Neurospora crassa OR74A: one gene and its partner. Each later gene encodes a partner of the first gene's protein in a complex. Links are inferred from orthologs where the notes say so. Each region holds a gene or a part of one and is shown on either strand. Other genes may lie near its edges.

What was found. The genes of interacting proteins can lie anywhere in the genome.
Region 2: the proteins of NCU00169 (region 1) and NCU02681 are in contact, whole or in part, in a cryo-EM structure (PDB 6N3Q), measured with the Saccharomyces cerevisiae proteins. The link is inferred for Neurospora crassa OR74A from reciprocal best matches to the Saccharomyces cerevisiae genes SEC63 and SEC66. Residues at the interface, in NP_014897.1 of Saccharomyces cerevisiae: Gln247, Thr250, Lys251, Lys252, Asn256, Ala259, Ser260, Val263, Val267, Asn268, Tyr269, Lys270, Pro271, Ser272, Glu273, Ile274, Thr276, Ile339, Gly342, Phe343, Arg344, Leu365, Pro367, Thr528; in NP_009730.3 of Saccharomyces cerevisiae: Asn69, Lys109, Leu113, Gln116, Ile117, Leu120, Asn123, Gly124, Ser125, Ile126, Gly127, Glu128, Asp129, Tyr130, Arg133, Arg178, Arg179, Ser182, Arg186, Val189, Glu193, Trp194.

Annotation. Positions count from the first base shown.
Region 1 is NC_026503.1:2,871,780-2,879,595, forward strand, and holds NCU00169 (translocation complex component), read right to left. Parts: upstream 4,331-7,816; 5' UTR 3,929-4,330; coding exon 1,981-3,928; intron 1,909-1,980; coding exon 1,754-1,908; 3' UTR 1,401-1,753; downstream 1-1,400. Other genes in the region: NCU00168 (1-acylglycerol-3-phosphate O-acyltransferase), read left to right, coding at 1-387, 489-688; NCU00170 (DNAJ domain-containing protein), read right to left, coding at 5,924-6,164, 6,219-7,380, 7,459-7,816. UniProt on the Saccharomyces cerevisiae protein: Acts as a component of the Sec62/63 complex which is involved in SRP-independent post-translational translocation across the endoplasmic reticulum (ER) and functions together with the Sec61 complex and KAR2 in a channel-forming translocon complex.
Region 2 is NC_026501.1:3,181,218-3,186,278, reverse strand, and holds NCU02681 (translocation protein), read right to left. Parts: upstream 3,681-5,061; 5' UTR 3,403-3,680; coding exon 3,297-3,402; intron 3,227-3,296; coding exon 2,925-3,226; intron 2,852-2,924; coding exon 2,594-2,851; 3' UTR 2,265-2,593; downstream 1-2,264. Other genes in the region: NCU02683 (hypothetical protein), read left to right, coding at 1-182; NCU02682 (hypothetical protein), read left to right, coding at 1,354-2,058; NCU02680 (nuclear protein localization protein 4), read left to right, coding at 4,276-4,484, 4,561-5,061. UniProt on the Saccharomyces cerevisiae protein: Acts as a component of the Sec62/63 complex which is involved in SRP-independent post-translational translocation across the endoplasmic reticulum (ER) and functions together with the Sec61 complex and KAR2 in a channel-forming translocon complex.

The DNA.
Region 1 (7,816 bases):
CCGAGCTCGACGTGCTCATGCTGGGCTGCATGTTCCCCAAGTACTGCTCCGTTACGGCCAAGAGCTCGCTGCGCAAGACCCCATTCCTCGGCTGGTTCATGTCCCTCTCGGGTTCCATCTTCATCGATCGCGCTAGCAAGACCGACGCGCGCGCCGCTATGGCCGGCGCCGCCAACCAGATCCAGAAGAAGCAGCAGAGCGTCTACATGTTCCCCGAGGGAACCAGGAGCTACTCCAAGGAGCCCGAGCTGCTACCATTCAAGAAGGGCGCTTTCCACTTGGCTGTCCAGGCTCAGGTTCCCATTGTGCCAGTTGTCGTTGCCAACTATAGCCACGTCCTTAACGTGAAGGACTTCGTCTTCAACGCCGGAGTCATTCCTATGAAGGGTATATATAACCCCTACCTTTCCCCCCTCTCTCCCTTCCTTCATTTTCCTTCACTTCCTTCTTGTGCTATCAAAATACTAACCATTTCACCTCACTCACAGTCCTCGACCCCATCGACACCACCGGCCTCACCACCGCCGACGTCGACGAGCTCTGCAAGAACACGCGCGACCTCATGCTTAAGGAACTCATCGCCCTTACCGCCAAGGCCCGCGGCCAGTCCGTCTCCGACATTCCCGTTGCTAACAAGTACCCGAGCGTGGCCAAGGCGTCCGGAACCGATATGCAGGTCGCCGCCTAAACGCATAATTTTATACAATTCGGCTGAGAAACAGCAGCTCCGTCGATCCAGAAATGCCAGGTGGAACTCTGCCCGTTTTGCTGCGCAGCAGCCCAGGACAGCGTGAAATCCCATCAGCCAGTCAGCCCCGCGACGAGGATGGACTGAACTGGGATTGAGATTAGTACTTTTTACCCCCCTAAGAAGAGGGTGGGATGAGGAAGAAGACGAGGAAGCAGCCGATTTTCAGCACAGAAATAGGAAAATAGAGGAGAGAGGTAGAGCCGAGAATTGCATATCTCAGCGGCATGATGGCTCGGAACTACCCTTTGAGTTTACGTGCAGGAGGAAGACAAGGAGGGGATGAAGACTGCGCAAGAAGGAATGAAATCAAGAATATTATGCGACAAAGACAGAGCTACTAGAACTAGACTAGCACATCTTTCTATATAGGATGGGATACCCAGTTACCAGGTCACGTACTTGGGGGTTGTGATGCGGTTTGGGGGTTGGGCCATCTCCCTAACCTTTGAAATCAAAGGGGGTTGACAAAAGGCGCCACTCAAGCCGCCTGACAACCCCCTTCTCGACTTCTGTTTCGTGGTTGGATTGCTGGATCTGTGGGATCGGGTTCGTTGGCCGGCGGACGACCTGAGAAGAAGTGGAAGAGGGTTGGTGGCAAAAGGTGATAAGCCAATGGGAAATACGAAAAGGAAGTGAATAGAGAATATGATACCCATGTACTTAAGTGCATTGCGTTGCGTTGCGGCACACGAACATTCAGCTCGAGGATCCGCGCCTGGCTTTCAACCGCTACAGTACCGTGAGAAGATAATTATGTACACAACAACATGTAAAAGTCTAACCAGCCTGCCAGATTTCAAGTTGTAATAACCAGACAGACTGTCCAAACTATAATGAGATTTTGTCTTTCGCTGTCAAAGCCGCTCCATCACTTTTTAAGGAGACCACACACCCCACCTTAACCTTACCAACCGACCCATACACCCATTCTTAATGATGTTGAAAAGAAAGTTTACAAAATATGAAGAACGACTAAGCGAATAAAGCGAAAGAAAGCCAAATTTAGTTTTCAGGCTCCGTATCCGTGTTAGTGTCGCTCGTGTCATCGTCCTCATCATCATCTGTCCCACTTTCCTCATCCGAGTCTTCCTCGTCCTTGACAACCCTCTGCTTTGTCGGCGCACCCTTTGCTGCGTTCATGATGCCGGCAATAGAATCTGTAGCGATTGTGGTCAGCTTTCTGTTATGCGAATGTGGTGGATGGTGGGAAAAGGGAGGAAAAAACTCACCCTCCTCAGGCTCGCTAATCTCCTCCTCATCCTTCATCTCGGCCGCCCGGCTCGCGTCCTCCACCACGAGCGTCACCTCCATCTTGGTGTCGAACCCGACATAGCTGTCGCACACCACGTGCATGACAAACGTGTAATGGCCGGCCTGTGGCGGCGCCTGGAACTGCGCCTTCATGGTTTGCATGGCGAACGTCGGCGTCTTGCCGTCCGACTCGTAAATGGGCCTGTCAAAGCTGACAAAGGTGAAAGGCGGCACGGCCACGCGTCCCTGCTTGGAATCCGTAAGGAAGACGTGCCATCTGGGGCTGTGGTCGCGGGCAAAGTAAGGGGAGGAAGCAAGCGGTGGGTAAACGTCCTCGCTTTCGGCGGACTCCTCGTAGATGGGCTTGCCCTTTTCGTCCTTGCCGACGACCTTCTTGGTCTTCTTGCGGCCGAGGATGGCGTCAAGATCGTCTTCGGCGGGGTCAATGTCCTCGAGATCAATGGGGGTGACGTCAGGTACCTTCTCGCTACCGGGAGGAACGAAGCGGCCCTTGACAACGAGGGTGACGAGGGAAGAGGGAATGATGAACTTCTCGCCAGTGACCTTGAAGAAAGCCTTGGCGACACGGAGGTAGGGGAGCTGCTTGGCATAGGCGATGGTTTCCTTGTACTGAGCATCGGTCAAGAGGCCCTTTCCAACAACAAGGCTGCGGCGCTTAGCATCAGGCTGGTCCATGAAGGCCTGGACAGTGGTGTGGACACGGGAGTCGCCCTCGACAGCCCGAACAACGGCCGAATTGAAGTGTGGAAGCTGGTACAGAGGAGAAGCCTTGGGCGGGATGGCCTGGATGAGGCGCTGGCTGGCAAAGTAGGAGGCGAGGAGTGGAGCAGTGTTCATGTAGGCGAGGGCGATGGCATTGAAAGACTTGTTCAGAGCATGGGCAATAGGAGCGACCTGGAACTTGGCCTTCTCAAGAGTAGCATCACCAAGCTCAATGCGCCCAAGGTAAGCCCAGAGAAGAGCGAGAGCCTTTCTCCGGGGGCCGTTCTCAACGTCCTCGAGCTTCTTCTTCTCTTTGGGTGGAAGTTCGTCGGAAGCCATAACCTTGGACTCGATCTTGGAGAGGCCGGCATCTGCCTTGTCGCCTTTGAACAGGTCTTCAAATTCCTGGCCACTGCTGAGAGCCGCCACTACACCACCCTCGTCAATGTTGTCCTGATACTCCTTGAACAAACGGTTGGCGCTCTCCATAAGAACACCCTCCTTGGAGCGTCGAAGTGTGCCGTACCACCAGGAGCCGACCAGATAGGGGAGGAGGACACCAAACAGGGCGAAGTAGATCAGAACAATGTACTTGCCATTGCCATCGGAGACAATGGCCTTGGGAAGGGCGATGTTGATGCTGAAACCTTGCTTTCCATCGGGGTTGCCGAACTGGATAAAGTTGTTGCGCACGTCCTCATCCGTCAGAGCCTGGTATGCCTTGGAGATCTCAACGTAGCGGCGGTTCAGATCGTCAATGGTCTCGTTCTTGGAGGCGTCGGGGCGGGCCTTGTCGGGATGGAACTTGAGGGAGAGCATCTTGTACGTCTTCTTGATTTGCTTCTCGGTGGCGCTCTCGGCGATGCCCAGGATGTCATAGGGGTTCCAGAGGTGTTGTACCGGGGCGTCGGTGGTCTTGATGAGGTAGATCATGTAGCCCATGACAGCCCACCCGGCGATGACGAGGGCGATTAGCCATGGCTTGCTACCGTCCTTGCGCTTCTCCGACTTGCGTAATGTGTCGACTACCGCCGACTGGTCGTGCTTGTAGTCCGTCTGGATGCGCTTAAGAGCGGCAGCTGGGTCGTTCCGCGACGATTTTATTAGCGAGTACGTGATGGGTACGGTGACGATGGACGTAAGGGTAAACACGAAGAAGGGCCAGAGGTGGCCCTCCTCGTCGTAGGCGTAATCAGTACTCATGGTGAGTACCTATCGTGGCGAGAAGCTGCTGGCGTCCGAAGTAGACGGCGGTCAGGCTGCAATTCCCAAGAAAAGATGTCGAGGACAAGTTGCAGCTAGGGACTGGAGAGGCCGAGCAGGGCGCTTTTGTTGGAGCTGCCGCGGGGATCCTCTGCTCTGTCTAGGCCAGCGTAGTCTAGTAGTTAATATTGGACTGTGGGAGAAAGGAGTGGAAGTTGTTTCCAGATTGTTGCTGGAGATGGCTGGGAACAAAAGGTAAGGTGGTGCGACCGTGTCAAGTGAGGTGTGGCGGCTTCCACAGGGTTCGTCGGTTTGGACCGATGGATACTGGTCGGATTGGTGATGGGGGATGTTGTCAAGTTGTCTTTCTGCGGATGGCGGATTGGCAGGTGCGGATCGGGGACTCTGGCACCGAAGATGAATCGTGGCCTCCAAATTTCAGACAGGGGGCCCAAGCTCCCCGCTAACACCGCTACGTACACCCACATGCCTCCCTCCGTACCTGCCCCTTCGGCTCGTACTGCCAGTACTTACTGCCACGGTTCCTTGTCCTTCATTCTGACCCCAGAACGGACACGCGAGATCTTGGTGGCTTTGTGAACCAATCCCGGCATTGAGCTTGCCTCCTGTTGTGGTGAGCTTGTGTCGTCTTTGATCTGAACAGATCTATCTCTCTGTCTGTTTCTTTTTTCTCTCCCTGGATGCAGTATTCGCCCCAGATTTGATGAGAGACCTTCCAAGTAGATAATAACTACCCAGCTGTCCGCTCTTATCACCAAATTGACATTTATGACCCAAGTCACCTAATCTGGCAAGATGTACATGTACTATGGTAAGAAAGATGGCAACTATAGAAAAGAGATATCAAATTGAAGCAAACCACAAGCTAGGAACGGTAATCTGTATTCAAACCTTATTCAAAATCTGAAGATAATGTCTAGATCCTTGAGTTAGGATTCAGAGGCGCCACACCACACGTTGTCCGCTCACCCTTAATTACAAACTAGCAACACAGTGCAACCAGTGTTGTTCATCGACCGGCTGCCACGAACGTTTGTTCAGGTCTTTCCGAATGCCGGCATCGCTGACTCAATGAATACTGCGCGACAGGAATAATCGCTGTATGTGCCATATTTACTCGCTGCCAGTTCAAAGCTCTATCCTGAATATATGGTGTCTAAGTATTCTTCTGCTTCGTCTTCAAGCATACTCAAAGAACCAAACCATGATAAGCAGCCCCATTTCACCAGACTTTTATATGAGTTGTCAGTCTATGTGCAATCCGATATGTAAAAAGGAAAATCGGTTACATCCTCAATCCAGAAACCTAGACACATAACGCCACTGACTTCCATCTCACAGTGCCGGATAAGGATAACCATATGGGCGTGTGCATGACTGCGACAACTCATAGCCCAACAACGGCCTGGAAATATGGTCGAGACGATAACAAGACAATGGTGGAAGACGAAGGATGCGCGTGGCGCAACTTTTCCGGGGAAAGGGTATGTGAGGTTATGAACCAATGAAACAAGTCTATGCCTTGACCAATTTGTAAAAGAAAACACCCGTCTTTTTTTTTCTGCTCCATCGCTTCTTACACGCTCAGGCATCTTTCCTGAAATTTGGCATGAGCCAAGGGGTTGCATACCCCAGACGCGGTCTCAGTCACTCTCTGACTGAGATACCAGAAGTACGCTAGCCGCGTCTGACGGCAGCCATGAACTTTTTGAAGAGACTTAGGCATGCATACCACACAAGGAGCAGAACCAAGAGATGGGGAGGCAAAAGCACAACGGCAGCGACCAGCCAGATACCCCATGATCTGAGCCATGCCACTCGGCTATCCATGTCGTTGCCTGCTTTTCCTTTTCCCCAAGCTCTGTGGGTCCGTCCGTGCTCATCGTGATGCTCGGTAGCGTCGTCTTCGGACAGATACCCGTCATTATCATCGTCAAAGTCGCCCTCGTACTCGTTATCATCTTCGTGGGTTTGTCACTGGTAGTGGAAGCCGCCGCCGCCAAAACCTCCCCTGCCGCGGGAGCGACCGCCTCCAGGGAAGCCGCCACCGCCGAAGCCGCCGAAACCACCACCACCGAAGCCATGACCACCCTGGCCACCCATCATCTGGATAATGATCTCAGGGTCAATACCACCCATGCCACCGCCCATGCCACCGCCAAACATATCAGACGGGTCCACTAGGTCGTCACCACTATCGTACCTAGCGCGCTTTCTATTCGGGGTGTTAGCAAACTCGTCAACTAGGAGGGGCAGGGGAGGGACTTACTGAGAGTCACTAAGCGTCTCATAAGCTTCGCTGATATCCTTGAATCTGGCTTCGGCGGAGGCATCGCCGGGATTCTTGTCGGGATGGTGGACGATGGCGAGCTTACGGTACGCCTTCTTAATCTGGGTCTCATCCGCATTCTTGTCGATCCCAAGGATCTTGTAGTAGTCTTTCCTCTGCGACTTCTTGAGCTCAAGCTCGGCTCGCTTGACTTCCTGAGCAATGGTCCTGTCTTCAGGCTCGAGCTCCTGCAGTGCCTTCCACTCCCTAACACAGTCCTCCCACCTCTCGGCCAAGCCAAGCGCGTTGGCCTTGGTCTTGCGGGCCTTGAGGTAAGAAGGGTCGAGGCTGATGGCTCTTTCGCAGTCGGCGATGGCCTCGTCAAACTGCTTCAGCTTGGTGTAGCACAAGGCGCGGTTCTGTAGAATCTTGGAGTTGGTGCCCTTGTTTGACGGGTCAATCTCCAACGCCGCAGTGTATTTTTCCAGGGCCTTCTGCCAACGGCCAGCCTTGTATTCATCGTTGCCCTCTCCCTTCATACGGTCCAACTTCTGAACGACACGCAACCACTTGATGGCATCCTTGAAGTCGGGATCGCAGCTGAGCGCCTTGCGGAAATGCTGAATTGCCTTGTCGTTCTCACCTGAAGCATAAAGCGCACGGCCACGGATCACGAGAGCCTCGGGGTCCTGGCTATTGCTCCTGAGGAGCGACATTGCAATATTTTGAGCCTCACCAAGAGAGTTGATATCGCCCAACCTGAGGAGAGCCTCGCCACGCATCAGAACCCACTTTCTGGGCCGGCTAGCACCGATACCCAGGAGCCTTTCGGCCATATCGAGGGGGTGCAGAACCATGGAAGCGGCCGTGCCCTCCTGGAGAGCCTTCTGGGCGGCCTGGATATAGTTTAACATGTCCCTAGCGGGAGCCATATCCTTTGCCGAAGGGGGCGGTTGGATGCGGCCGAAAGTGGCGATGGCCTCTTCGGGTCTGCCAAGGCTGGTGTAGATACGGGCCAGACGCAACAGAATCTTGGGGTTGTTCGGGTCAAGCTCCGCTGCGCGAGTGCAGTCCTCAAGAGCATCCTTATACTTGCCGGCGGACATGTAGGCTGCCGCACGGTTTCCTAGATATGTTGCGGATTCGGGCTGCAAGACGATGGCTGTATTGTTTATGCCCAAGTTAGTTTCTGCCTCAATTTTTTTTTTTTTTTAATCCTCGAACCTGGCCGCCTTCTTACCCTTGGTATAATGCACAATCGCTTGGTTATAATCCTTTGCCTTGAAGAACTTGTTGCCCTCATTCTTGAAGCCCTCTGCCTGCTCGGCAGGGCTCTGCACGGGGGTAGTAGGCTGCGAGCGATGGGGAGGAGGGGTAGGAACTTCGCCGTCATTAGTCTGAGCAGCATCGGCACCGTTGGACATGGGGACGGTAAACGTGCTTCCGTGAGCGGGCGGTGTGGGCTTCTGCTGAGCTTGCTGGTCCTGCGGTTGCTGCTTGTGCGGCGGCGGCGGCGGCGAGGCTGCGGAAGCCGCGCCGTTCTCCTTGTTGTCGAACTCCATTGAATTTCGAACACTAAAGCCGGACAGATCAGAAAA
Region 2 (5,061 bases), on another chromosome or scaffold:
TGGCGGATCTATGGTCTGCGTACTACGCGCTTGTGGGCGAGGACTCGGAGGATGGTGGACTGGGCGAGAGAGAGGCGCTGGTGCAGTTCTATCACGGCTTGGCAGAGTTGAGGCTGATGGGCTTTGTCAAGAGCAGCAAGAAGAAAGCGGATCATGTTGCCAAGGTTAAGTGGTTGCTGTAATCGGCTCGGGATAGGTGTGTGTACTGTGTGTATGTGAGTGTGAGTGTGTGTGGCTGGGAAGCGGATGGAGGGAAAGAGGAGAAAGGGGAAGAACCGAGCCGAGAGCATCAGGGCAACTTTCCGTTCGCGTTCTTTGTTCGTTTCGAATGTCCCATCCTTGGATGTGGATGGAATGGGAAGCTATGTTTGGCATTTTGAGTGGCCACATGGGGAAAATGCATTGTTACTGTCATGGGCATTCATTCCATTCACATCGTTTTCGACAAGACCTCCATACAAGGCCGAACAATGTATTCGATTGGCATAATCCCGTTACCCTCTCGAATCCAGATAAAAGAGACAAAGCCCCCCCTAACAAAAGGGGGGGAAGACAAAGAAAAGACCATGACGGCATCCCAACGTTCGGTATAGCTGCCTACCTGTGCTGTTTCTGGAAATCGCCAGCGGCTTTTCTCTGCCACCAAAGACATAAAACACATGCTTTCGTGCGCAATGTCTACCATACAACAGTGACGGCGGTCATCTTCGCTAGGCTATTTGATCATTTCCGGTCTGCTTATTTGAATCGTGAACTGCTTCTGCTTCGTTTCGTTTCGTTGATGTATCCAAAAGGTCGTCGTCGGTTTATTTTTCAGCAGGTCATTCCCTAGCCCTTCCTTTTCAGGAACTTCCATTGTGGGAGGGTACGGAATAGTTTCAAAGAAATCATACAACTATTCATTCTACTCTGCCGCAACAACGGGTGCACGAACCGAACCGACAAAAGAAACGAGAAAAAAAAAGCCTTCACTTTACTTCAGTTATCATATGTTCCTCAATACCTACCAACCCATTTACTCATTACAAATTCCCTCGTCGGGTTTCTCGCAAACAGGTTCACTTATAATCGGATCACAGTCATACCCATCGCAAACAAGCGCTGACGTTGAGCAGACCAATTGATCACGAGCTGGTCATTCACCGGAAACTTGTCGTCTCGTTCATCCTCTTCAGGTCTTGCTTGTCACTGTATAAAAACCTTCGGGTTCCTCCCCTTGAACCACCGAGCAAGGGCTACCAAAGTAGGAACGGCGAGTCTGTGGGCAATCAGGCCAGGTTTGGTATTGCGATTCTCCCCTTATAGCCAGAAACGCGATCATTCTTCAGGGGAAAAAAAGAGACAGCAAGCACAATGTCCAACCATGGGCAACACCCAGGTCAACAACCCAACCCTCGGGGTCATCATCGCCGTCCGCCTCCCACACCATCAGGAGCAGCGTCACAGCCACCACATCCCCCTCGACCCCGTTCTCACCAATTACAAAACCCAGCAACCCTCACAACCCGCCGCTCCCTCCTCTCCCCAACCTTCGCCTCCAAACTCCGCCAACTCGCCCTCCCCCTCGCCCCCCTCGTGCAGCTAACCAGTGGCACCGTGCACCCCGAATTTCCCCAGACGTTGCTCAACTTCTGGCTTTTGACCGACGACCAGCTGGACCGACTAGCGAGCTTCTATCACCAGCGCACGCCATGCCAGTGGACGGCGCACTACCCTTGTCCGGTGTCATGGCCGGCAGGCATGGGGATCGAGGAGAAGAGGAGGAGGATTGGACGGTTTATCGGGCTGAGGGGCTGTGAGAGTCCGTTGCCGACGGGGACAAGTTTAGGTTTAGACGTGGACATGCGGCAGATGAGTACGGGGGGAAAGAAGGGGGATGTGCAGGTAGATGATGCCGCTATGGAAAACGAAGGAAATGGAATGTCGACGTACATATCAGCGCTGCTGAAGTCGACGATAGGGATGACGGACGAGGATATCGCAGAGACGGAGAGGAGGGTCAGGGGAGCACAGGATGAGTTGGATGAGATCAGGAGGAAGATGGGTTGGTATCTTTAGGTTGACAGTGATTGTTGCAATGGGTAGAGGTAGGGATAGCAAGACGGGCAAGATTTAAAGTTTCCGAAGAATTCGCTTGCAAAAGGTCTACCTAGATGGCCAGGCAGGTTAACTAGAGGTACTGAACGAGCGCTGGTGCTCGGCAACATCGGTACATACCTACAGCGTAGAACAGCGCCATATCCCAAATTCAAACTATCCAAGCTGAGGCCTGATTCGCTTTCATTCGTATATTGACCAATGTAGGTATTGAAGTCTACGTAAGAATCCCAAACCCAAGGGCGCTGTGGGCTGTACTATATCTCGACCAAGACCCGTAAACGACCTGAAGAGGCTCCCCCAAAAAAGTATACCCTTGAATATTTTGCTGCAGGTCCCAACCCATAAACGCCATGGAAGAATGCAATTGCTTGCCCAACACAACCCCACACTGCCCTGCCCTCCCATACCTCTCTTCTTATTGTACAGCCACCCCGGAGATCTCTATGCGAGATGCTCACGTCACTCTCATGCACCGCTCGCTAGGACGTGACCTCTAGTTCTTGCCCTTCTTGTTCGACGGCGATGAGGTGACTGAGCTGGTGTCCACAGGGGTACCAGTACCAGCCTCATCCCCTTCCAGTTCCTTCATGAACTCGCTTCTAACGGTGGCCCTGCGCTTCTCCCACCACTCCTTTTCTTGTGTTGCCTGAGCCTGGATCTCGTCAAGGCGCTCGCGCAGCACAGTGTTGGCAGCAATCTCGTTGGCGGTTTGGAAGATGCTCTGTCCCCAGTTGGGAGCGAGTGCGTTGGCCTGAAGAATCGGGCATTAGCATTTCTGGCATCCAATCATCCGCACGGGTAACCCTCTTCAAAGGAACACACACCTCCATAACAACATCACGAAGCTCTTCCTCCATTTCCTTCTCGGCACGCTGGAACCTTTGCCACAGATCATCGCCGATGCTTCCACGCTGCAAAAGAGAGCTGCAGGCGGCCTTGGCGGCGCGGATCTGGATAATACGGTGGATGTCTTCGACAGCGCGGCGCAGCAGAGCCGCCCGGAGCACACTTTCAGGAACTTTAGGTGCCTTTTCGGATCCGTTCTCGGGCTCCATGTGGAGGAGTGACAGGTAGACGTTGCGTTGGAGGTGAGGACCGAACCATGGTGCGAGGTTTGCGCTTTGCTCTGGAAGAATCAACATGGTTAGGCTTCTATCCAGAGAAGCATAGAAATTTCTGAGTAGGGGGTTGCATACGGGCTTTCCTCTTGCGGTAGATTGTGGAAAAGGTCATGAAGGTGCCCGTCAGGACAATCAGATAGGCGAAGGGGAGCACAAGCCCCCGCCAGTCGACGCTGAACATGTTTCGGGATGGAGTGTGTGTCAAATTGACGGACGAGAAATGATGTCTGTATTCTCTACTCTGGAAGAAAGCGAGCGACTAGAGTGAACCAAGAGGCGGTAGGTGGCGTGAGGATTGTCGTCGTGCAACTGAAGGTTGCCCGGTGATGGATGCGTTTGCCTTTTGCGGTTGTGTGAGTGATGGACACCGACGGCAATGTAATCGTGCTTCCCTTGGTTATCAAATGCAGTGCCCATGCCTGGAAAGAACACCTTGACAACTGCAACGGTGCAGCGCGGCAGGGGGAGCTTGACAATGGAATTTCGGCCCTTGGCGCGCGCTGGCTTCATCTGAGTGGCAGGGGCCCATGCCGCAAGTGGAAATCGATGCCTGCCGCGACAGCCCCTTTCTGTCACTCCCAAGTCTTTGAGGGGTGCGGGGCATTGCCGGGCCGGCATTGGGCTCTCTCTCTGACGTGGGACCGGGAGTTTCTTGGCTCTTCTGGAAACCCAGCAGGCATGCCTCGATTGCTCAGCACTTCCCAGCACGCCCCAGCACTCCCGCCGCCCAGGCACACGTATGACGAACGCCTGAAACTATCGTACAGCGTTGCGTGGAGCTCCCCGCCCTTCGATCAGGTCCCGTCTGCCGACCAACAATTCACCACCCGTATCCCGTCACCAGTTGTGCCTTTACCCCGAGTCCGAGGACCTGGCGTGACCTTGTAGATTTTGCGCAACAAGAAGCTTTATTCATAGATACCGCCCTACTTCCGACGCCTACGACACATTTTAAATTCAGATTCCGGATTATACTCGCCGAACGACAGGAACAGACCAGATCCGTCGGACCCTTTAACAGCCCAGACGTCACCTTTTTTTCAGCCCGCCCACGATGTTGTTGAGGGTACGCGGTCCCGATGGCATGCTCCGCCTGACATTGGAGAAAGATGACACCTTTGCGGATCTTGGCCGTCAACTCATTCCCAAGCTTCCCCCGACTGTTGACCCGAAAACAATTACATTCTCGAACCATCCGACCGGCAGCGACGCCAAGAATCTCAGCGAGGTCGCAAAGTTCAAGGTCGGCCAGACTGGGCTCAGGCAAGCTGACCCCTTGGAACTCTCGCGCTGATCTTGCGATTTATGTGCCAGACACTAACTAGCGACCTGAAAATAGCCATGGCGATCTTATTTTTGTCACCTACAAGCACAACGATGCGGCGACCGACGGCCCAGGCAACGGCGAAGCCACCAAATCCAGCGTGCTTTCATCCACGAACCGCCTCAACGGCAAACCGATCCTACCTGCAGAAGACTTGCCCATCGACCCGCCTCCGCTGACATCTCCGCATGAACATATCAAGAACCCGTGGGAAACGGTGAGGCAGTCGCCTCTGGACGATCGGCTAGACAAGCGTGACGGAAAGATCCCAAGGGGGCGCGATCATAAGATGTGTCGCCACGGGCCCAAGGGTATGTGCGATTACTGCATGCCCCTTGATCCGTTTAACGCAAAGTATCTCGAGGAAAAGAAAATCAAGTACATGTCAGTACACGCATACCTCCGCAAAATCAACTCTGCGACAAACAAGCCCGAGCTTGGGGCTTCGTTTATCCCCCCGCTTGTCGAACCCTATTACAGAGTCAAGCGGGACTGTCCATCCGGCCATCCTCAATG